3 linked regions of the Anolis sagrei genome follow. The protein of the gene in region 3 interacts with the protein of the main gene of each other region in a biochemical or structural test. Links are inferred from orthologs where the notes say so. Each region holds a gene or a part of one and is shown on either strand. Other genes may lie near its edges.

Evidence for each region.
Region 1: of the proteins of LZTR1 (region 3) and HRAS, one has a biochemical effect on the other in vitro, tested with the Homo sapiens proteins (3 studies listed by BioGRID, with this or other methods). The link is inferred for Anolis sagrei from reciprocal best matches to the Homo sapiens genes LZTR1 and HRAS.
Region 2: the proteins of LZTR1 (region 3) and KRAS form a complex in vitro, tested with the Homo sapiens proteins (2 studies listed by BioGRID, with this or other methods). The link is inferred for Anolis sagrei from reciprocal best matches to the Homo sapiens genes LZTR1 and KRAS.

What each region holds. Positions count from the first base shown.
Region 1 is NC_090021.1:240,068,635-240,076,209, forward strand, and holds the start of HRAS (GTPase HRas), read right to left. Parts: upstream 3,062-7,575; 5' UTR 2,580-3,061; intron 192-2,579; exon of another isoform or gene 171-191; intron 1-170. UniProt on the Homo sapiens protein: Involved in the activation of Ras protein signal transduction. Ras proteins bind GDP/GTP and possess intrinsic GTPase activity.
Region 2 is NC_090025.1:186,777,229-186,784,703, forward strand, and holds the start of KRAS (GTPase KRas), read right to left. Parts: upstream 3,061-7,475; 5' UTR 3,003-3,060; coding exon 2,951-3,002; intron 1-2,950. UniProt on the Homo sapiens protein: Ras proteins bind GDP/GTP and possess intrinsic GTPase activity. Plays an important role in the regulation of cell proliferation.
Region 3 is NC_090024.1:206,568,552-206,576,340, reverse strand, and holds the start of LZTR1 (leucine-zipper-like transcriptional regulator 1), read right to left. Parts: upstream 3,009-7,789; 5' UTR 2,972-3,008; coding exon 2,805-2,971; intron 2,684-2,804; coding exon 2,621-2,683; intron 863-2,620; coding exon 806-862; intron 1-805. UniProt on the Homo sapiens protein: Substrate-specific adapter of a BCR (BTB-CUL3-RBX1) E3 ubiquitin-protein ligase complex that mediates ubiquitination of Ras (K-Ras/KRAS, N-Ras/NRAS and H-Ras/HRAS).

The sequences.
Region 1 (7,575 bases), on a different chromosome or scaffold from region 3:
AAGATGTAGATTTCTTTAAGGATCCATCACCTCTCCTCTCCTCTTGCTCTTTCCCCCACCCCATGTTTTCTGGGCTGACAGGAAGTGTTTACAGAAGGTAAAGTCAGTAAAACTGAAGAGGAGAGAGAGAGGGAGGCAAAAAAAGCAGATTGTTTTGCCTCCTCACTTACCTGCCCCCAAGGCTCAGAGGCACAGCAAACGCTGTTGGAAAACCCTCTCCTGGGAGCCTAATTCCTTCTGCAGACAGGAAAGGCAGCCCTTAAGGAACATGCAAAAGGCTGACACGCAAAACAAGCACCCACTGCCCCCTGGTCACATCATCTGAACACATGCCTCACTCTCTCACACAACCCCTCCCCACTCTAGGATAGGTTTCTGCACAGGATCTATTCAGCATGTGCAGCCACTGTTAGGATCTCCTTAAAAGAAGGTGTCCAGAAAAGGATGACCAAAATGAGGAAGGCTGATGGAGCCTGGTCTGTTTAGCTTAGAGAAAAGAAGGCAGACAGGGGACAGTAAAAGGTAACCGTTTCCCCTGACATGAAGTCTAGTCATGTCCAACTCTGGGGGTTGGTGCTCATCTCCATTTGTAAGCCGAAGCTTTGTCCGTAGACACCTCCAAGGTCTTGTGGTTGGCATGACTGCATGGAGCACTGTTACTTTCCAGCCGGAGCAGTACCTATTGATCTACTTGCATTTGCAGTTTTCGAACTACTAGGTTGACAGAAGCTGGGGCTAACAGCGGGATCTCACCCCGCTCGCTGGATTCGAACCACAGAGCTTTCAGTCAGCAAGTTCAGCAGCTCAGCAGTTTAACCCGCTGCACCACCAGGGGACTGCAGCCTAGTGTAAATACCTGAAGACTCTCTTTCTGCAGCTCTGGAGTCTGGGACATAATGGAGCAATGGGTTCAAACCGCAGGAATACAGAGAGATTCCACCTAAACACAAGGAAGAACTTCCTGACAGGAAGAGCGGTTAGAGAGTGGAATGTGCTGCTGCCTTGCAAGCTGGTGGAGTCTCCTTCTCTTGAGAGCTTTAAGCCGAGGCTGGATCGAAATCTGTCGGGGTGTCTTGATCACTTTATAATATAATATCTTTATTCTTATATCCTACCTCCATCTCCCCGAAGGGACCACTTACATGGGGACCAAGCCCAATATAAACAAAGGTTAGGAATAACACTATTAAACACATATAACAGTAAAATATATTTAAACAGCTATTTTTTTCATGTCAGGGGCGACTTGAGAAACTGCAAATCACTTCTGGTGTGAGAGAATTGGCCTTGTGCAAGGATGTTGCCCAGGGGATGCCGAGATGTTTGGATGTTTTACCATCCTTGTGGGAGGCTTCTCTCATGTCCCCGCATGGGGAGCTAGAGCTGACAAAAGGAGCTCAATCCACTCTCCGATACTGAACCGCTGAGCTGTCAGTCAACAGTCCTGCCAGCACATGGCTTTAACCCATTGCGTCACTGAGGGCTCAACTAACGCAATCAAAAACATAGAAGAGTAAAATATGTTAAAACAGTAAAACCAATGAAATGTAAAACATCATAAAACATAGACCAGACATCAAATAACCAGTAGTTGGGGGGGAAAAGGTGGGCCTGTGCAGATTTGAGACTAATAGGGCACGACAAGGGCTGGTGCAAATGCAACACTGTAGGGCTGGGAATAAAGTGCTGGAGAGCCAATCAAAAGATTAGGCTTTCATGGCTGGAATCACTGGATTGTTGTAGATTTTTCGGGCTATATGGCCATGTTCTAGAAGCATTCTCTCCTGACGTTTCACCTGCATCTATGGCAAGCATCCTCAGAGGTTGTGAGGATGCTTGCCATAGATGTAGGTGAAACGTCAGGAGAGAATGCTTCTAGAACATGGCCATATAGCCCCAAAAACCTACAATGACCCAAAAGATTAGGGCTAGGCAGATTTAACAGTGTGTTTCTGCATGGCAGAGGGTTGGACTGGATGGCCCTTGGGGTCTCTGCTAAGTCTAGGATTCCTTTTGCAACCGAAGGACTGACAACAAAGGGGAGGAGCCTGAGCACCTCGGCGCCCGGAGACCAGCGGCGACTCCCTTCAACCCCCCCCCCCCGACGACCAGACCCACCCCGCGCCCCCACGGAGGGAGGGGGAGAGAGGGAAGGGGGGGAGGAGCGCGCGCTCCCCTCGAGGGCTCCGTCTCCAAAAGCGCGCCCCTCTTTCTTTCCCTCCAAAAGAGCCACACAGCCGCACTGGGGAGGCGCTGCGGCAGCCCCGCCCGGGAAGAGAGGAGAGGAGACCGAAGGAGCCTTTGCCTTTGGAAGGGGGAAAGGGGTGGGGGGCGGAGGGCCAGCAAGGCACAATCCCAGCCAAGGGAGAGAGGGAAGGAAAGGAAGGAAGGAAGGAAGGAGGAAGAGTCGGCCGCCTTTGCCTACTCGCCCTCATGAATGACTTTACAAGCCGAAAGGCGCGCGTGGAAGGGGGAAGAGGGAAAGGGGGTTTTCTCCCACGCTATCCCCAGTCTCTTTCGCTCTCTCTCCACCCCTTCAAAGATCCCCCACAAACTGAAAGGAGAAAGGTGCCCCTCACCTTCTACTCGCCGCCGTCTTTTCCCACGAGGCTCTTTCCCTCCCACTTTTCCGGGAGGGCTCTCAAAAGGGAGCAAAGTTCGCGCGTGGGGAAGGGCGGGGCAGGGCTAGAGACCCCAGGCGCCTCTTTTGGCAAGCCTTCAGTTCTCCGTGGGTCCCTCCAGGCAGGGGCGGGCTTCCCACGGAGGCGTCGGCGGCGGAGCCCCCTCTTTGCGTCGCCCTCCCCGCATTGGCCCCGAGCCCCGGGCCGCCACGGCTCCGGCGTGGGTGCGACAAGGCCGGGGCACGACGACCAGGAGGAGGAAGGAGAAGAAGAAGAAGGAGAAGGGACCCACGCCCAACGCAGCCCCGGGCGCTCGTCACTCCAGCCTCTCCCGGAGCAGCTGATAGGGCTCAACCCTCGCGCCCCCGACTGCGGGTCCGGCCTCGCGGTGGGCTGGGGAGGCTGTCAATCACGCCCAGAGGGGCGGGGCCAAGCGCGGGAGGGAGAAGGAGAAAGCCAGCGCCGAGGTCTCTCTCTCTCTGTGGGGCTGAAGGAGGGAGGGAGGGAGGGAGGAGGAGAGGAGGAAGCTCGCCCGCCCGCCCGCCTGCTTTGGGTGGGGGAGTCGCCCCTGGTGTATTTTTAGAGCGTGCTGCTTCCTCCAGGGAAATCAAACCACCTCCTCTGCCTTTCAGCGCTGGGCAGGGCCTCCCTCGTCGGTATGAATTCCCCGCCGAGGCAGCACACTCCCATTTCCTTCCTTCTCTATTTAGGGTCGCGCCCGCCTCCTTCTGAAGGTCTCGGGCTGCCTTCGGGCTTGGGGCCGCCATCAGGCCCTTCTTCTGGGTTTGGTTCGGCTACAGCCGCGAAACGAGGGGCCGGGGGGAGGAATGGGGAGGGGAGTAATGAGGAGGGGAGGGGGCGCCACACAAAGGAAGGAGGGGCCGGGTTCTCGCCCCACGAGACCCCCTACTCCCACCGCCCCGATGGAGGACGGAAACGCCCTTCCACACAACAGCCGAGCATCCTTTATTGGTGCCACCATGCCAGGGCTCTGCCAGTATTCAGGCAGAGGTGAATCAAACAAACACCCAGCTTGTTTCTAACAGTTTAATTAAAGCAGCACTTCGTTTCTGGCTGTTTTAATAGTCCAAAATATAAAAAATAAAGATAGCAGGAAGCCACATAATATAAAACAAAACTGGGTAAAAGTATGATAGCTGGGACCGAGTGCAGATAGTGCTACGCTGATTGCGCAATGGTGGTTGTGAATGAGGAACACGTGTGTGGTCAAGAGACTGGGTGGAGTGAGACCAGGTGGAGTGAGATACGCAGGCAGGACAGAGTCTGCAAGTTTGTAGTTGCTTTACCATTCCCGCTCAAATATTGCTTTACTTGCCTTAAGTGCAATGCTTCCCTGTTTGTTGCCCCCCCTTTCTGTTTTCCCTCCCTCCCCTTCTGACCTGAGTTGGGCTCACCGCATTGTGCTATCAGCATTGGCGAAGCAGCGTTGCAGAATCAGCAAAGTGCTACCTGCACTCGGTCCCAGCTATCATACTTTTATCCAAAACAGATAGTAAACACTGCACCGTAGTCAAAGGGTCCAGTCCAGTGGTCAAATGCCGAGAGTTTAGTGAGAGAAGTCAAAAGTCTATACAATAGTCAAAAGCCAATCCAAAAATTCAAGGTTCCAGGGTTCCAAGAGTTCAGGAGACAGGTCAGGACACCAAAAATCCAGAAAACTTAGGAAAAACCAGCAGCATATACTACCAACATAAAACAAATACTTTTCTCCCAAAGATCAGCCCCGAGGTCAGCTCCTTAAAACCAGTAACACCCAACTGCAACCTATCCTTTGCATCCTGCCACTCTTAATTGCGTTTACCTGTAAACTGTTAGTTACAAATTACTCAGCCCTTTAGAACTAAGACTTACATTAACTCTTCCATCACCAACTGTTGGGTCTGCTACCACCAACCACCATGAACTGCAGGACATGATACATGACAATTGGGAACGCCCCAAACTGGCCACAGTTTGGGTGGTACAATGAACAAAAACTTTGTTGCAGGCACACAATTGGGATCCATAGTGCATGACACTACCTTTGGGCCTATGAGTGTGAGAGCTGTGCATAAAACCAATGAATTGCGTCTTTAGACTTACATCACATTTCTAAGATAATTCATTATATTGTCGAAGGCTTTCATGGCTGGAATCACTGGGTTGTCTGTTGGAAACTAGGAAAACAGGGTTTATATATCTGTGGAATGTCCAGGGTGGGAGAAAGAACTCTTGTCTGTTGGAGGTAGGTGTGAATGTTTCCATTGGCCACCCTGATTAGCATTTGATGGCCTAGCAGTTTCATATAAACCCCATTTTCCTAGTTTCCCACAGACCTCAAAACCTCTGAGGATGCCTGCCATAGATGCAGGCAAAATGTCAGGAGATAATGCTTCTGGAACATGTCCATACAGCCCGAAAAACTTACAACAACCCATAATTCATTATGTTGTGTTGCTGTGAGTTTTCCAGGCTGTATGGCCACATTCCAGAAGCATTCTCTCCCGATGTTTTGTCTACATCTATGGCAGACATCCTCAGAGGTTGTGAGATTTGTTGGAAACTAATATACCAATATACCTCACAACCTCTGAGGATGCCTACCATAGATGTGGGCAAAATGTCAGGAGAGAATGTTTCTGAACATGGCCATACAGCCCAGAAAACTCACAGCAACCCAGTGATTCTGGCTATAAAAGCCTTCAACATTATGCAAATCATCATCATCATGGACAATCATAAGTGGCAAAGTAGGGTTGTCTTTCAAGGGTAGTCTTTGCAGTGACTCCTATTCTGGATCCCTAGGAACTTTCAAAACGAGAACACACATTTCCAGATGGAAGGGGGAGCCAACAAGGGATTCACCCTCTATTTGTGCCTCTTCAAAATCTACAGCACTGCTGGTAAGTTACAATGTTAGAGCCCCAGGGCCTTCCCTGTTCTCCATGTTTATTCCGCATTTTTTAAAGTTTTCTTTAAACCCATCTTTAAATCTCTTTTGCTGTTCACCAACATTCCATTTTGAACATGTTATCTTTTTGTGTTTTTCCATTGCCATGTCTAATACTAAAAGGTTTTATGATGTGAAAATATAGAGAAATAATAATAAAATAACTTTTCTAATCTAAAATTAGAATAAAAAGTGTGCATATGTTGTTTTGAAACAAAGGAGATAGAAAAGTTGAGAAATGGAAAATGAAAAGTCCTAACTAGCACTTTCTACCCTGTCTCTGCTGTCCTCTTTATAATGAAAAAACCTATTATTGTTGTCATAAAACTTCATATCTCTGGTAGATTAACTTTGCAGGATCTCTTGGATACCATTGAGGATCCTGTTATTCTTGTCACTGAATTCTCTTATTTTTTTATTTTCTTGTTCTTCCTTTGCACTATTAATTTTCCCTTGGTGCTATAGAAAACCCGATATTTTCATTTTCTTTTCTTCTTTTAAATAGTAAATAAAAGGCTGCCATTCTTCTTCAGATTTAGAAGGATCTGGCAGTTTTATATGCCTAGTCAGTCTGTCCATTTCTAATTGTATAAACTTGATCAATTTGTCAATTTCTACCTGATCCATCATTTTTGTAATCCATAAATCTTGAGAGGGAATTACTTCATGTTTCCGGTAATCACAAATAATGAAAAGCTCACCTCCTCTTGTTTGGTGAATTTAGTCCATTGATATTTAAAGAAAATATATTTAAAGTCCTTGATCTTAAAATAGTAGATGATCATCCAATTATTCATCACGTGGAGTGGCCTGCTACTGTAGTTGAACATCTTCCTTATTAAGGTTGCCTTCTCTTCTTGCCTTCTTGGATGTTTTCTTATTGGAAAGCCCACAATCTATTGGAAATTTCAGTGCACGATAACCTTATTGAAAAGATAAAAATGATGTCACCTCCGTTTGGGAAAATTTGAATCTCTATGAACTTAGAGACCACTTGAAAACCACAAGTCAGGAATGGCGTGACCTTGTTAGAAGTCAAACCTTAAGACAACTGATATTCATAAAGCATTCATGTGATAGCGCCATGGGTAGCTCAAGTGTTAAACTTAGGAACCATGTCTTTAAACGGTTATGGATAAAGACAGGCCACTACAAAAATCTATCTGGTTAGCAGAGGATGTTTGTTTGAAATAGAATTTGCAGTTGCCCAAAAGATATACACTCCCTTAAAACATGCACTCAAGAGAGAAAACAAAGTAGTCTTCTTTGAAAAAAAAATATAACTTGTTTACTAACAAACTTGTATATATTCAGTATACAGGCACATAGTATTTAAAATGTCTTTAGGCATATCTGTACTCACTCAAATCCCTGAGCACACACATCCACCTCCAGTGAAGTCTGAAACCAAACATATCTCATTGAAGTCCAAAAGTAAACATCTACCTCATTGAAGTCCAAAAGCAAACTACAAAATTGAGTCCAGGTCTGAAGCCCCTCCCACAACAAAGAGGAAAGCCAAACTGGAAAATCAACATACACATAGAATGCAGGTTAACAAATATATATTAACAAACAGTTAGTGAAGGATTGTAAGGTTGCTGTTTCCAACATCTCTTTCTCCTTGGCCTTCTTAAGTTTATCTGTCAGAAAAAAGCAATTTATTATTTCTTTATTATCTGCGGTGGAAATTTTCTTAATACTGCAATCCTGGTATTTCTTATTTCAATTGGATCATTGGTGTTAACTTGCAAAACTTGATCTCATGTTTTCTTTCTTGAAAACAACACAATCACAGCTTATTCCTCATTGCATGTTGGGATTGGACTCCAAAGATGCTGTCAATTTGAGCCTCGAACACTTGCTCTGGTCTACCAAGGATTCCAACCACAACTTATGTTATTGCCATTTCAAGTTCCTGTATAGATTCAGGTATTCCTCTCAACTCAAAGAGTATTCTGTTTGCTCATACTCTAATATTTGGAGTTTTATTTTATCTCTTTG
Region 2 (7,475 bases), on a different chromosome or scaffold from region 3:
TTTTACTGCACTTTTAAAAAATCTTATTTTAATATAATTATTTATTGTTTGTTGTTTTGTTTATTGTTTATTGTTATGTTTCTCCTTCCCTTTTAACACGCCTCTCTACCTTGCTTGCTGGGATTTCTTCCAGGGTGGGCCCCACGCGGGACCGTGGATCACAACAACAACAACAAACCCCCAGCTTTCCTTTTTTTTCTCCCCCCTCTTAAAAAAATAATGAAATCCCCATTGAATCGGTGGAAAGAAGAGGTTACTCGCGAGTAAAATGCCCACGCGAGGCGCGACCCGCGTGGGCCAAGCTGAAAAAAAGAAAATAAATAAATACTGAAGATCACATTGGAAGAAAGGGGAGTCCAATCGGAATGTTGTTTTTTAAATCAGATTTAAAGGAGTGGGAGATGAAATCACGCGTGGAATCCAGGTTAGTCCGGTTTTAGAGGGAGGAGATTTTGGAAAGTAATTTTCAGCTGGGAAGAGAGCAAAGGATGATGCAAATGCCTTATTATTATTATTATTATTGTGCAAATGCCTCAATAGTATTATAGTATTATTATTATTATGCAAATGCCTTATTATTATTATAGTATTATTGTGCAAATGCCTTATTATTATTATTATTATTATGGTGCAAATGCCTCAATAGTATTATAGTATTATTATTATTATTATTGTGCAAATGCCTTATTATTATTATTATTATTGTGAAATATCTTATTTTTATTCTTATTAAGATGGTGCAAATGCCTTAATAGATTATTATTATTATTATTCTATTAGGATGGTGCAAATGCCTTAATAGATTTGTTGTAGTTGTTGTTATGGTGCAAATGCCTTACTATTATTATTATTCACACAAAAGCACAGTATGTCACAGCAAACGAGATCTATATGCTGGATTTCGTATCACAAAATCATTATTATTGTTATTATTAGGATGGTGCAAATGCCTTAATAGATTTCTTATTATTATTATTATTATTATTATTATTAAGATGCAAATGTCTTAGTATTCTTATTATTATTATTGGGATGGTGCAAATGCCTTAATAGATTTATCATTATTATTATTAATGTTATTATTTTGGTGCAAATGCTTTATTATTATTATTATTATTATTGTTTTATTATTATTAATATTATTATTATTATTATTATTATTAAGATGGTGGAAATGCCTTAATAGATTTATTATTATTATTATTATTATTATTATTAATGTTATTATGGTGCACATGCCTTATTATTATTGTTATTTATTATTAGGATGGTGCAAATGTCTTAATAGATTTATTATTATTATTATTATTAGGATGATGCAAATGCCTTATTATTATTATTATTATTATTAGGATGGGGTTTCTTGGTGCAACTTGAAAAACTGCAAGTTGCTTCTGGTGTGAGAGAATTGCTCATCTGCAAGGACATTACCCAGGGGACACCCAGATGTTTTGATATTTTACCATCCTTGCGGGATGGTAAAACATGTCCTTGCATGGGGAGCTGGAGCTGACAGAGGGAGCTCATCCGCACTCTCCCCGGATTCGAACCCTCTTCAGTCCTGCTGGCACAAGGATTTAACCCATAGGGCAATTAGGGGCTCCACATTAGGATAGTGCAAATACATTATTATTATTATTATTATTATTATTATTATTATTATTTTACTGACACTAAAGCACAGTATGTCACAACAAACAAGATCTATACGCTGGATTATTATTATTATTATTATTATTATTATGGTGCAAATGCCTTGTTAGGATGGCGCAAATGCCTTAATAGATCTATTATTATTATTATTATTATTATTATTATGCCAATGCCTTGTTTTTAGGATGGTGCAAATGCCTTTATATTATTATTATTATTATTATTATTATTATTATACTGACACTAAAGCACAGTATGTCACAGCAAATGAGATCTATACGCTGGATTATTATTATTATTATTACTATTGTTATGGTGCAAATGCCTTAATAGATCTATTATTATTATTATTATTATTATTATTATTATTATGCCAATGCCTTGTTGTTAGGATGGTGCAAATGCCATTATTATTATTATTATTATTATTATTATTATTATTATTATTATGGTGCAAATGCCTTAATATTATTAGCATTATTATTACTATCATTACTGGCAACTAGGGAAAGGATGCTCAGCCTGCCAGAAAGAAGTATGTCAGGTAAGGGTGGATTTTTATATATTTTGTTTCAATCCAAACCTGAGTCCATCCCTTGTCAAACATTTGGAATCAGGTCTTAAAACACCTGCAAACCACTGCAGGTGAGCATTATTATTATCCTTCCAAAACCCAGTCCTTGGAGACAACGCTGCTTCTCCTAATCAATTACCAAAGAATCAATAATCAATCATGATGCAAACAAACCAATGGCTGGTGAAAACCCCTGTTACATAAAACCACAATGAATCAGGACACAGTAGTAGTACAGTAGACTCTCAGTTAACCAGAACTCTCAAGCAACCGGCAAACAAAATCAAAGAAATAATAATACTGCATTTGCAAAGCTGTGTTGGATTGCAGTTTGGTTTGGATGCCTGCATTTCAGTATGGAATTCAAGTCAATACAGAGTTTATGGTATTGTATAAGGTATCGTAGTGGAGTTTATGGTATTGTATAAGGCCTATTTCTCATAGTAACTCTCAAGCAACCAGAAACTGCATTGACCTGGCACCTACCCATCCCCATGGGTGCCTCTTAACAGAGTTTACTCTAATAATAATAATCCCCAAGGAATGCATTTGGAATAATTGCCCACTTGGAGCATCATGTACATCATGTACAGACTGCAGTCAGAGGGGATTTGGATCCTTTAGGGAAAGATTTGGGGTCTGCCGTGGGGTAGGTGGCTCCAGTGCCCCCCAATAAGCCCTTTCCACCCCCCAAATCCCCCCTCCCCTCCGTGGCCTCCTTACCCCTCTCTCTGTCTCCTGCCCGAGGTCCTTTAGTTGCTTCTAGGACGTACATACAATGCTCCTTCTCTGCTCTCTGGCAGCTTCCAAAATAACAGGCAAGCGAGCTGGGTCCCCCCCCCCCCTTTTTTTTTTTTTTTTTTTTTTTTGCCTGCTGAAGAATAGACAGAGAGAGAGAGACAGAGAAGGGAGGGTGGCAGAGCTTCTATCTTTGGGAGGCACCCAAATCCCATTTGATTATGGATGCTAAGCAGTGCCGGCTATGGTTGGGGCCTGGAAGGGAGACCGGCGACAAATACCAGAGGAAGGAGTGCGCCAAGGGTTCTTCCTCGCCGTAGAACGAATGCAGTTTGATACCGCTACGACGGACATGGCTCAATATTGATTTATTTATCGTGTCAGGAGGAACCAGACAGTTGTATTACATTTTTAACAAAACAAACAAACAGACAAAACACAAAGTTTGCAAGCTTGGTAGTTGATTAAATGTCCTTTGACCAGTATCTGGCCACTTGGAGTGCCTCTGGTGTTGCCGCAAGGAGGTCCTCCATTATGCATGTAGGTTGCATTGCAGCAGGTGGTCAGTGGTTTGCTCTTCTCCACGCTCACATGTCATGGATTCCACTTTGTGGCCCCATTTCTTGAGGTTGGCTCTGCATCTCGTGGTGCCAGAGCGCAGTCTGTTCATCTCCTTCTAAGTCACCCAGTGTTCTGTGTGCCCAGGAGGGAGTATCTCATTTGGTATCAGCCATTGGTTGAGGTTCTGGGTTTGAGCCTGCCACTTTTGGACTCTTGCTTGCTGGGGTGTTCCAGCGAGTATCTCTGTACATGGCTCAATGATATGGAATGATGGGAGATGGAGTTGAAGGTTTTGAGCTAAACAACTAAACAACATATCTTACGATTTTATCTTATTGAGCCGTGCCGGTTAAATTGGTGTCAAACAGCATTAATTCTGCACTTCAGCTGTGCCCTATGTTGCAAAGATTGTTTATGTAAATCTGGGATACTCTTTCTTTGCGTCCGCATGCAAATGAATTGGCATTAAATGTTTATTCTTGTTTGTTTGCTAGATCAATTGTGCCATTATTTTTATTTATTTACTAGCTGTCCCCTGGCACGCGTTGCTGTGGCCCAGTCTGTGTATATGTGTTTTGTGTGTGTATATGTGTGTATATATTTGTGTATGTGTGTACATATGTGGTTTTGCGCGTGCATTGTAATGTATTTTTAAAAAATATGTGTTTTGTGTGCCTTTATGTGTATATATATTTCTGTATATATTTCTGTATATATGTGTGTTTGTGTACATATGTGGTTTTGCGCATGTGTTGTAATGTATTTTTTGTTTTTTGGCTTTTTAAGTCTCTTCCACTGTGTTTTTCAGTGTTTTTATGAGTTGTCAAAGGCTTTCATGGCCGGAATCACTGGGTTGTTGTAGGTTTTTTCGGGCTATATGGCCATGGTCTAGAGGCATTGTCTCCTGACGTTTCGCCTGCATCTATGGCAAGCACTACCTCTGAGGATGCTTGCCATAGATGCAGGCAAAACGTCAGGAAAGAATGCCTCTAGACCATGGCCATACAGCCTGTATTGTGTCCAAATTTGGTGTCAATTCGCCCAGTGGTTTTTGAGTTATGTTAATCCCACAAACGAACATTACATTTTTATTTATATAGATTGGTCCAGTGAATGTTTATTTTTGTGAGTTATAGTTGAGAAAAAGTATCTAATCTCAATCCCGGCAAAACTAAATTTACTTGACAATAAAAAGTAGATGGGGCCACAGTGACGCAGCGGATTAAACTGCTGAGTTGCTGAACTTGTTGACCAGAAGGTTGGCAGTTTGAATCCATGGGGTGGGTGAGCTCCTCGTTAGCCCCAGCTTCTGCCAACCTAGCAGTTCGAAAACATGCAAATGTGAGTAGAGCAATAGGAAAGGTAATGGCGCTCCATGCAGTCATGCCAATTACATGACCTAGGAGGTGTCTATGGACAATGCCGGCTCTTCGGCTTAGGAATGGAGATGTGCCCCACCTCCCAGCGTCAGACATGACTACACTTAATGTCGAGGGGAAACCTTAACCTTAATTAAGGTGTAGATATACCTTGATAATAGAATCATAGATTTGGAAGAGACCTTGTGGGCCATTCAGTCCAATCCCCTGGCAAGAAGGAAAATCGCCTTCAAAGCACCCCCAACAGATGGCCATTCAGCCTCTGTTTAAAAGTCTCCAAAGAAGGAGTGACCACCACACTAGGGAGTAGGGAGCAAGCTTGTTTTCTGCTGAGACTAGAATGTGGAACAATGGCTTCAAATTGCAGGAAAGGAGATTCCAACTGAACATTAGGAAGAACTTCCTGACTGTGAGAGCTGTTCAGCAGTGGGGCAGAGAGTTCCACTGCTGAACAGCTCTCACAGTCAGGAAGTTCTTCCTAATGTTCAGTTGGAATCTCCTTTCCTGCAATTTGAAGCCATTGTTCCACATCCTAGTCTCAGCAGAAAACAAGCTTGCTCCCTACTCCCTATGACATCCCCTCACATATTTATACATGGCGCTCATTATGTCTCCTCTCAGCCTTCTCTTCTGCAGGCTAAACATGTCCAGCTCTTTAAGCCGCTCCTCATAGGGCTTGTTCTCCAGACCCTTGATCATTTTAGTCACCCTCCTCTGGACAAATATGGCCCTAGAGTAGCAGAAGTTGACCACAGACAACTTAGAAATTTTCCACAAGAGTCAAATCCGCAGGAGGGCCGACTATACCAGTTTGGCTATCAAATTGGATATCATAAGAAAAGCGGAGGCTGGTGAACACAAAAGTCATCGCTGGATGCATTTTTGGAAGTGATCTTTACAAGATTCAGAAAGTTGTTTGCTTGTTTAATGAATTGTTTGCTTCCTTTCTAATGTACACACTGCACCGGGATTGTGGCGCGCGCAGCTGGCTGAGTGTCAGCTGCGTTAAGATCACTCTGACCAAAAGGTCATGAGTTCGAAGCCAGCCCGGGTTGGAGTGGGTTTCCAACCAATTGTGTGTACCCTGTTGTCGACCTTTGCAACCCGAAAGACAGTTGCATCTGTCAAGTAGGAAAATTAGGTACCACCTTAAAGTGTAGGGAGGCTAAATTAACTGATTTATGAGGCCATAAAGAAGACTCCAGCAAAGCATTCCAGCAGGGAAGCATGCGGGGAATGCGGAAGTGCTTCATCAGCGTAGCAGATGGACAATGAAAGCAACAGCTCCCCTGGTGGCCAGAAAAAGTTAAATAGCATCTGTGTATGTCTGTAAATGTTTGTATGTCAAAATTGGCATTGAATATTTGCCATATATGTGTACACTGTAATCCGCCCTGAGTCCCCTGCGGGGTGAGAAGGGTGGAATATAAAAGCTGTAAATAAATAAATAAATAAATAAAATAGTTTATAATAAAATGCTTCTGAAACATATTGGTTTTGTGGTTTATGAACCTACCTCACTTTCTTCCATGTGCTTTCTGCTTCTGATGCTAAATATTCTCCTAAAGACATCTACTTCATTCGCTGAGGCATACCTGGCTAGATTTCTCCTTATCCCTTCTAATTATCTATCTATTTCTGGTGTTCAGACAGGAGTGCTGATGGTTAGGTAGCCAAAACGGCACCATCCCCACCCAAAAGGGAGACTCCGACATCTCAGTCCCTTTCAATAGTCCTATCAGCGCTGGTCATCTTCCATTCCTGTATAATTTGCTTTCTAGGTCACTGGGTAACTAGCTATACTTAAAACACACTCAGGGTGTTGGTTGTTGTTTTGGCAGGCTAAATATATCTGTGTGAAACCGCAAGAACAGGCCCATGGTAAATTGCATTTACACCACTTACTTGGCCAGTTGCCTCTAAGTAAGCCATGGCTCGATTACACAATAGGATTGGAATGGAGAATTGGTTAGCCTTCCAGATGTTATACTACAGCATCCATTAGCCCCACAATAAGAGATTATGGGAATGCTGAGGTTTTTTTTGGGGGGGGGGGGTACTTTGTTTTGACTAGATCTAAAATTGAGGGATTTTAGTGTGAGCTATGATCCCAAAAATAGTAATGGATCTTAGCTCTTGATTGCAACCCAACACCATTTGAAGGGTCACATTCCTCAACCATGTCGTAGGAGGAGAAAAATCCTACAAAACATTCTTTGGATAAGTGTAGATCTCAAAGGTCATTACTTTGATGCTGCAAATTGAAATGGAAGTTTGCTCAAGTAGCATCATTAATGTTTAGGAAGTCTGACTTGGCCTCGGTAGTCCACGCTCTGGTTACATCCCGTATAGACTGCTGCAACGCACTCTATGTGGGGTTGCCTTTGAAGACTGCCCAGAAGCTTGAAATGGTCCAATGAACGGCAGCCAGATTGCTAACAGGAGCAGCGCTCGGGGAGCATACAACTCCTCTGCTGCGCCAGCTCCACTGGCTGCCAGTTTGCTACCAGGCACAATTCAAAGTGCTGGCTTTAGCTTATAAAGCCCTAAACGTTTCTGGTCCAACTTAC
Region 3 (7,789 bases):
GCAGACACTTTGGTTGGGAGACTGTGTCATCAATGCAGGAGGCCAACGAAGCTTCACTATCATAACTATATCTAACAGTGCCACTCTCACAAAACCTGCATGACCGCACCCCAACCAAAGTAGTTTTGAAACACTGGAGACTGGTTGCTGGACAATAACATCTGGAGCATTCTGCCAGATGTGTGAAAAATAAAGAACAGCAGCTGGATTAACCATTGAGAAAAGCAGCTTTCCTGAAACAACTGCCCTTCTCAATCTGTCCTACAAACAAGAGAGTGCAGCAGACATAATTTTCCAGTGCCTTGAAAACGTTTTGTTTGGTGAGTTGCCAGGCTGCAAAGGTAGGTTTTGGGGGTATGCTGGTCATTAATGAGTATAAGCAGCAATCCCCGGCAGTTTCGAGATTATAAATCCAACTAACCTGATACTGAACTACTACAGTAGTAGGCACAAGATATATGGAAATCTACTGGTGGATGTTTTTATTACGAGTGTAGGTCAGTTGGTTTTAGATTTCTAAGCATTTGATTCCTATCGATGTAGTGGCAGCTACACAAGGCTTTTGGGAATGGGTAAGTTGTAAATTAACTAATGAGAAGGATGATTAGGAACAACTTTTTATGCAAAAGAATTACAAGTTAATTCTGGTATTAGAAACAACAATCTAGGCTGAGCATGTGTACATAGCTGAAATGAAAATCATGTGGCTTTCCACAATTTATACTTTGATACTTATATAGAACTCTTCATTTCAGATGAGTAAAAATGTATAAAACATATTAAAATATTAGAAATATGGTTGTACCTGCACCAAGAACAGTCCTTCACATCAAATCTCAACAGGTCATTCAACATAGTTTTTCTTTAGAATAAGAGAGAAAAATAGAAAAAGTTATTTTCGGGTACTATAAAACATTACCTCATATTAATTGCAGCACTTGTACCTATGTATATCTATTAACAATTGTATTGATCATAACAGGCTAAATATTTATGTGTTGATATTATGCCAACAGTATCTATCATCATTTATATTTAATACTAGCCATCCCCTGCCATGCCTTGCTGTCGCCCAGTCTGCTGATCTGGAAAATAAAGTATTGAGAAAGTGTTGGTTTCTAATATATGTAACTGATTGTGGGTAAACAATATTTCTTGTTGTTTCTTTGTCAGTGTGGATGTGAAGATTGTCTGATTTGCCTACTCTGGAACATGCAACATAACATTGTCCTTCTTTGGGGGTCCCTTTCAAATCTTTAATACTGTAAGTGTGTGTGTGTGAATCATATCTATCTATCTATATCTATAGCTGGATAGCTTTATGTCAGGGGGGCCTTGATTATGTTTCCTTGTCCTGGTGAAGGGAGTTGGACTGGATGGCCTTAAGTATTTTCTGTTGGTCATGGGGGGGTCTCTGTGGGAAGCTAGCCCCATTACTGACTGTCTCTTGAGGAGAAATTAAAAGGGTATACTATCTGCAAGGCGACTCTATGAATACCTGACACTGTGGATAGCAGAGAACCAGAAATCGAAAACATTTCCCATCAGCCTGTTCTATGGGCTGTTACAGAGGTGCCATGGGAAGCAACCAACAGGTGGAGCCCCCAGTGGCGCTGTGGGTTAAACTGTTGTACCGGCAGGACTGAAGACCGACAGGTTGCAGGTTCAAATCCGGGGAGAGCGTGGATGAGCTCTCTCTATCAGCTCCAGCTCTCCATGCGTTCCAGCTTTCCTATCCAAACTACCTCTCCTTATGAGCCACATAGGACTTTAAGATCATCTGAGGAGGCCCTGCTCTCGATCCCACCTTCCTCGCATATGAGTTTGGCAGGGATGTGAGACAGAGCCTTCTCAGTAGTGGCCCCTTGGCTATGGAACGCCCTCCCCTGGGATATAAGATTGACTCCCTCCTTTCTAACATTCCGCAAAATGATTAAGACCTGGATCTTTAAGCAAGCTTTTTCTACTGGAGCATAATTAGACGTAAACAAATATATGGAATGACTGACAATTCAACCGGACAACGATTTTAGTAAGGAGATGCCGAGGATCTTGTTTTGACAGATATATTGCTTTTTATATTACATTTTAAAGGCTGAATTGTTTTATTAATGGTTTTAACTGTATTTTGATATTTGTTCTGGCATCAAATTGTGCTGACTAGGAACCACCTTGAGTCACCTCTGGCTGAGAAAGGTGATATACAAATACGGTAAATAAATAAATGCGGGGACATGAGAGAAGCCTCCCACAAGGATGATAAAACATCAAAACATCTGGGTGTCTCCTGGGCAACATCCTTGCAGATGGCCAATTCTCAAACAACAGAAGCGACTTGCAGTTTCTCAAGTCGCTCCTGACATGGAAATAACAAAACAGGCATGGGCAAACTTCGGCCCTTCCTCCTGGTGTTTTGGACTTCAATTCCCACAATTCCTAACAGCCTCAAGCCCCTAAGGGCTTGAGGCTGTTAGGAATTATGGGAGTTAAGTCCAAAACACCAGGAGGAGGGGCCGAAGTTTGCCCATGCCTGATCTACACTGTAGTATTGATGCAGTTTGATCCCCTTTAGCTGCCATGGCTCGATGACAGCTGCAGCTGGACCAGAGGCTGGCCTCACCCGTTATCTCCGCCGAAGACGTAGATGGCATCCCGATAGGCGACCACGGTGTGTTTGCTGCGGCTGAAAGGAGAAGGAGGAGGAGAGAGAGGGCCTTGACTGCTCGCCCGCCTTGTGAGTGAGGCCTTTCCCCTCGGCCAGGCCTCCCTCTCCGCCGCCCTCCTTCCTCCTTCCTCCTCCTTACCGGGCCCCCACAAACTCGTCGCAGGGCGGGAGTCGGCGCCAGCGGTGCACCGTCTCGAAGGGCCCGAAGTTCAGCGTCAGGTACTCAACGCTGTCCGAGCAGCTGTGGTCGAAGTCCACGCTGGGCGCCACTTTGGAGCGGCCGCCCGCCGCCTCAGAATCCTCCATGGCGCTCCCGGCCCGACTACCACTCCCGGCATCCCCCGCGGCCTCCAGCTAATCAGACAACGCGCTTGACTGGACGTCAGACTACACTCCCCAGAAGGCCCTCCGTCAAGCATGACGTCAAATCAGCGCGGCGGCACACTTCCCTGGAAGTTGTTATTGTTTCCCTGGGAACCGCTTGGTACAGGCTGGGTGCCTCTTCTCCGAAATGCTTGGTTTTGAATTACCTTTTATTCCCTCGGATTTTGGAATACCTGAGTACAGAAGAATATATATTTCATGGAGAAGGGACCCAAGTCTAAATCCAGATTTCACTCATGTACATTGTCACACATCGCCTGAAGGTAATTTTGTCCCATATTTATAATGTACTAGCCGCCCCCTGCCACGCGTTGCTGTGGCCCACATGGAGGTTCTGTGTGGGAGGTTTGGTCGAGTTCAGAATGCTCTTTGATTGTAGGTGAACTATAAATCCCAGCAACTACAACTCCCGAATGTCAAGATTCTATTTTCCCCAAACTCCACAAGTGTTCACATTTGGGCATATTGAGTATTCGTGTAGAGTTTGGTCCAGATCCATTATTGTTTGAGTCCACAGTGATCTCTGGATGTAGGTGAACTACAACTCCAAAACCAAAGGACACTGCCCACCAAACCCTTCCAGTATTTTCTGTTGATCATGGGAGAACTGTGTGCCAAGTTTGGTTCAATTCCATCGTTGGTGGGGTTCAGAATGCTCTTTGATTGTAGGTGAACTATAAATCCCAGAAACTACAACTCCCAAATGATAAAATCAATTTTTTTGAGTGAAGGACATACATTGGGTTGTTAGGCGTATTGTGTCCAAATCTGGTGTCAATTTGTCCAGTGGTTTTTGAGTTATGTTAATCCCACAAACGAATATTACATTTATATAATTCAAATTGAAATTGAATCCAGACAAGACAGAGGTACTCCTGGTTAGTCGCAAGGCCGAACAGGGTATAGGGCTACAACCTGTGTTGGACGGGGTCGCACTCCCCCTGAAGACGCAGGTTCGCAGTTTGGGTGTGATCCTGGACTCATCGCTGAGCCTGGAACCCCAGGTTTCGGCGGTGACCAGGGGAGCATTCGCACAGTTAAAACTTGTGCGCCAACTGCGACCGTACCTTGGGAAGTCTGACTTGGCCACGGTAGTCCACGCTCTGGTTACATCCCGCCTTGATTACTGCAACGCTCTCTACGTGGGGTTGCCTTTGAAGACAGTCCGGAAGCTCCAATTAGTCCAACGGGCGGCAGCCATGATACTAACAGGAGCGGGGCACAGGGAGCACACAACTCCTCTGCTGTACCAGCTCCACTGGCTGCCGATCTGCTACCGGGCTCAATTCAAAGTGCTGGCGTTGGCCTTTAAAGCCCTAAACGGTTCTGGCCCAACTTATCTATCCGAACGTATCTCAGCCTATCAGCCCGCCAGGACCCTAAGATCTTCTGGGGAGGCCCTGCTCTCTATCCCGCCGGCTTCACAGGTGCGGCTGGCGGGAACGAGAGACAGGGCCTTTTCTGTGGTGGCCCCTCGGCTTTGGAACACCCTCCCTATAGAGATAAGGTCAGCCCCCTCGCTGATGGCGTTTCGGAAAAAACTGAAGACATGGATGTTTGAACAAGCATTCGGATAATCCGACGAACGAATTTTGACGATTAAGGATTGGTAATTACAGACGACGAATTTGGATTGTGATTCCAGTTACGAGATGCATTTGGATTGTTATTGGTGGCCCAATAATTCTGTATTTTATATGTGTTTTTATGCTTTTAACTTGAATATTGTTGTTTTTAGATGTTGTAAACCGCAATGAGTCGCCGACTTAGGCTGAGATATTAGCGGTATACAAGTGTAATAATAAATAAATAAAATAAATAAATATATATATATATAGAGAGAGAGAGAGAGAGAGAAAGATTTATTTGTTTATTTACTTTGTATTATATCCCGCCCTCTCTCCCTCATTGAGCAACTTAGAGCGGCTAACACAGGCATGGGCAAACTTTTCGAGGTCAACTCCCACAATTTCTAACAGCTGGTGGACAATTTCAACAGAAAGGAAGAAACCATGAAAATGAACCAAATCTGGCTACCAGTATTTTAAAAAAATCAAAACAGTAAATAAAGAGCAACACTCAAAAACAGGGGAATTCCAGACAATAAACAATCAGGGCCAGCTAATCACCTCCCAACAAAGGATTTTCCCCAGACAGGAAGCAGCCAGATTTTGAAGCTGCAAGGCCATTAAATGCTAATCAAGGTGGCCAATTGCAACATTCACATCTGCATCAAACAGACAAGAGTTCTTTCTCCCATCCTGGACATTCCACAGATATACCGAGTGAGGCAACATTACTTCCTTTTTTTCAAAACTTAATGAAACCCATTGTATGAATCAGAATTTATTTTTTTAATAATGTAGGTAATAATGCATACCTAAAGTTTTGTTTTGCATAGTTTTGAAGATCAAATTAGGTAGGTGACGTCCCCCATTCTCCATACACTGAGTAAACCGATTTCTGAAGTTTGGTATGACTCTTGCCAGCATAGCAGTCGTTATGTTGGCAATTTCTTTCTGAATGTTGGTCTTCAAATCTTCTAGGGTCCTTGGACGGTTCACATAAACACAGGATTTCAAAAACCTCATAGAAAAAAATCACAAGGGGCCTAATCTGGAGAGCGGGCTGGCCACTCCAAATCCGCTTGAAAAGTAGGCCTCCATGGCAAAAGCACGCTCCTCACTGTTCCAACGCATGATGGTGACTGAACTGTGCCAGGATAAAACTTTATACTCCCACCTCTCGAACGAGACCACTACATCTTCAACCGACTGAATGACGCACATTTTAAAAAAGGAAGTTAAGCTGCCTCACCCAGTATAAACCTCATTTTCCTAGGTTCCAACAGACCTCACAACCTCTGAGAATGCCTGCTATAGATGTGGGTGAGACGTCAGGAGACGTTTGGAACATGGCCATACAGCCAGGAAACTTATAGCAACCCAGCCAGTAAGCTGTCTGGAATTGTGGGAGTTGAGTCCAAAACACCTGGAGGGAGGGCCGAAGTTTGCCAATTCCTGGGCAAACATATTCAATACCCTTCAACAATCATTTTGTTTGGGAAACAAAGTTTATCAATTGACCCTTAGAAAACAAAAGTCATTTAACTTATGGTGACCCTGAAGCAGAACTTTCCAAGCATGTCATGTTGGTGTCACATTTTTAAAATCATGTATCAGTTCACAACACAGTAATTCAATTTTACTAGCAAACTGGCAATTAACTAGCCCCTTATAATGAAATTTGTTTATTATATGTTTGCACACAACACATAATAATGAAAGGTATGGGCACGCAACACAGGAGATGGCCTTTTCAGTATCTGCTCCCAGGCTGTGGAATTCCCTCCCAAGAAAAACCAGAATGCCTTCTGCAAGCAGGTCAAGAGCTTCCTTTGCCAACAGCTTTTAAGGAAAGGTAATATAAATTTTAAAGGCCATTTAATGTATTTAATGTATTTGCTGTATTTTAAGTGTTTTAAGGTACATGTTTCCCCTGACATTAAGTCCAGTCTTGTCTGACTCTGGGGGTTGGTGCTCATCTCAGTTTCTAAGCTGAAGAGCTGGCATTGTCCATGGAAACCTCCAAGGTCATGTGGCCAGCATGATTACATGGAGCAGCATTATTCTGTTTTACCACACTGTTATTCATTTTTTAACTGTTGTATTTTTCTACACAAAGCATGTGAGTTGGACCAGAAGTGACTGGTCTTTGTGGTCTCCACATGACACATAAAGTCCATTCACCTTAATGCGGCCTTGTCCCGCCTTCCAAAAAGTTGCAGGATGCTTCATGGAAGCTCTATGGGCCAGTGTAAACAGTTGGGGCACTTCCTATTTGAATGTGTCTATGGCTGTTCACATTACCATCCCACTTTCCTCTGGCTGGGGAGTCGCAGGGACAGGAGATGGCAATTGCCTTCCCTTGCCATTATGGCCTTTGCAGTGGCTTCTGGACACAAAAATGATAATTGGTACTCCGCACCTGGAACAATGATGTGATTGGAGAATGGAGGGAGGAAAAGAGGGAGCGGAGTGGTGAACACTGCCATTTTTATGTTCTGTGATTGCTATTAAGACCAGATCAACAAGAGTAAGGTAAGAGTGGCAGTCTGGTGGCATTGAACCAGTTCCAGCACCACTAGGACATGTGGATGCCATTCAGCCACCAGCTTGTGGCTGCACGATGCAGAGACTTGTCAGTTCCTCAACTTGCTGAATGGCTGTTTGTGTGGACTCTGGTACCCCACTTCTGAGCAGCAGCACCATTTGCGGCATGTGTAGATGGCTGCCTATTGTGCCTTGCCAATGTTGAAGAAAGAAACCCTGTGACACAATACTGTAGATGACATTTTATTATAGTTTAATGAGCTAGGTCAAATTTAGTCATACTTACAGTACAGCCACTGTAGTCAATGAAACTGTTATTGATTTCAGTGAGTCTAAACTTACAACTAAGTGTAGACCCCAATAAAATGATTTCAGCAAATTCTTGTGAGAATAGTAGGCGGTCGGAAACATTAATTATTATCATGCTGTATTGCAGGTGACACATCAAGAGTACAAAAAAGTTTCTAGCAAAACTTTGGCATTATTAACAAGATATTCAGGACTTTTTGATTAAAAAATTAGACTAGATAGAGATTAGAGAAGTCTGTGACTTTCCAAAAGTTAACGCAACAAATGGTGAGGGGTATTGCAATTCAACTTTTGTAGAACTTGGAAGGAAATACCTGGC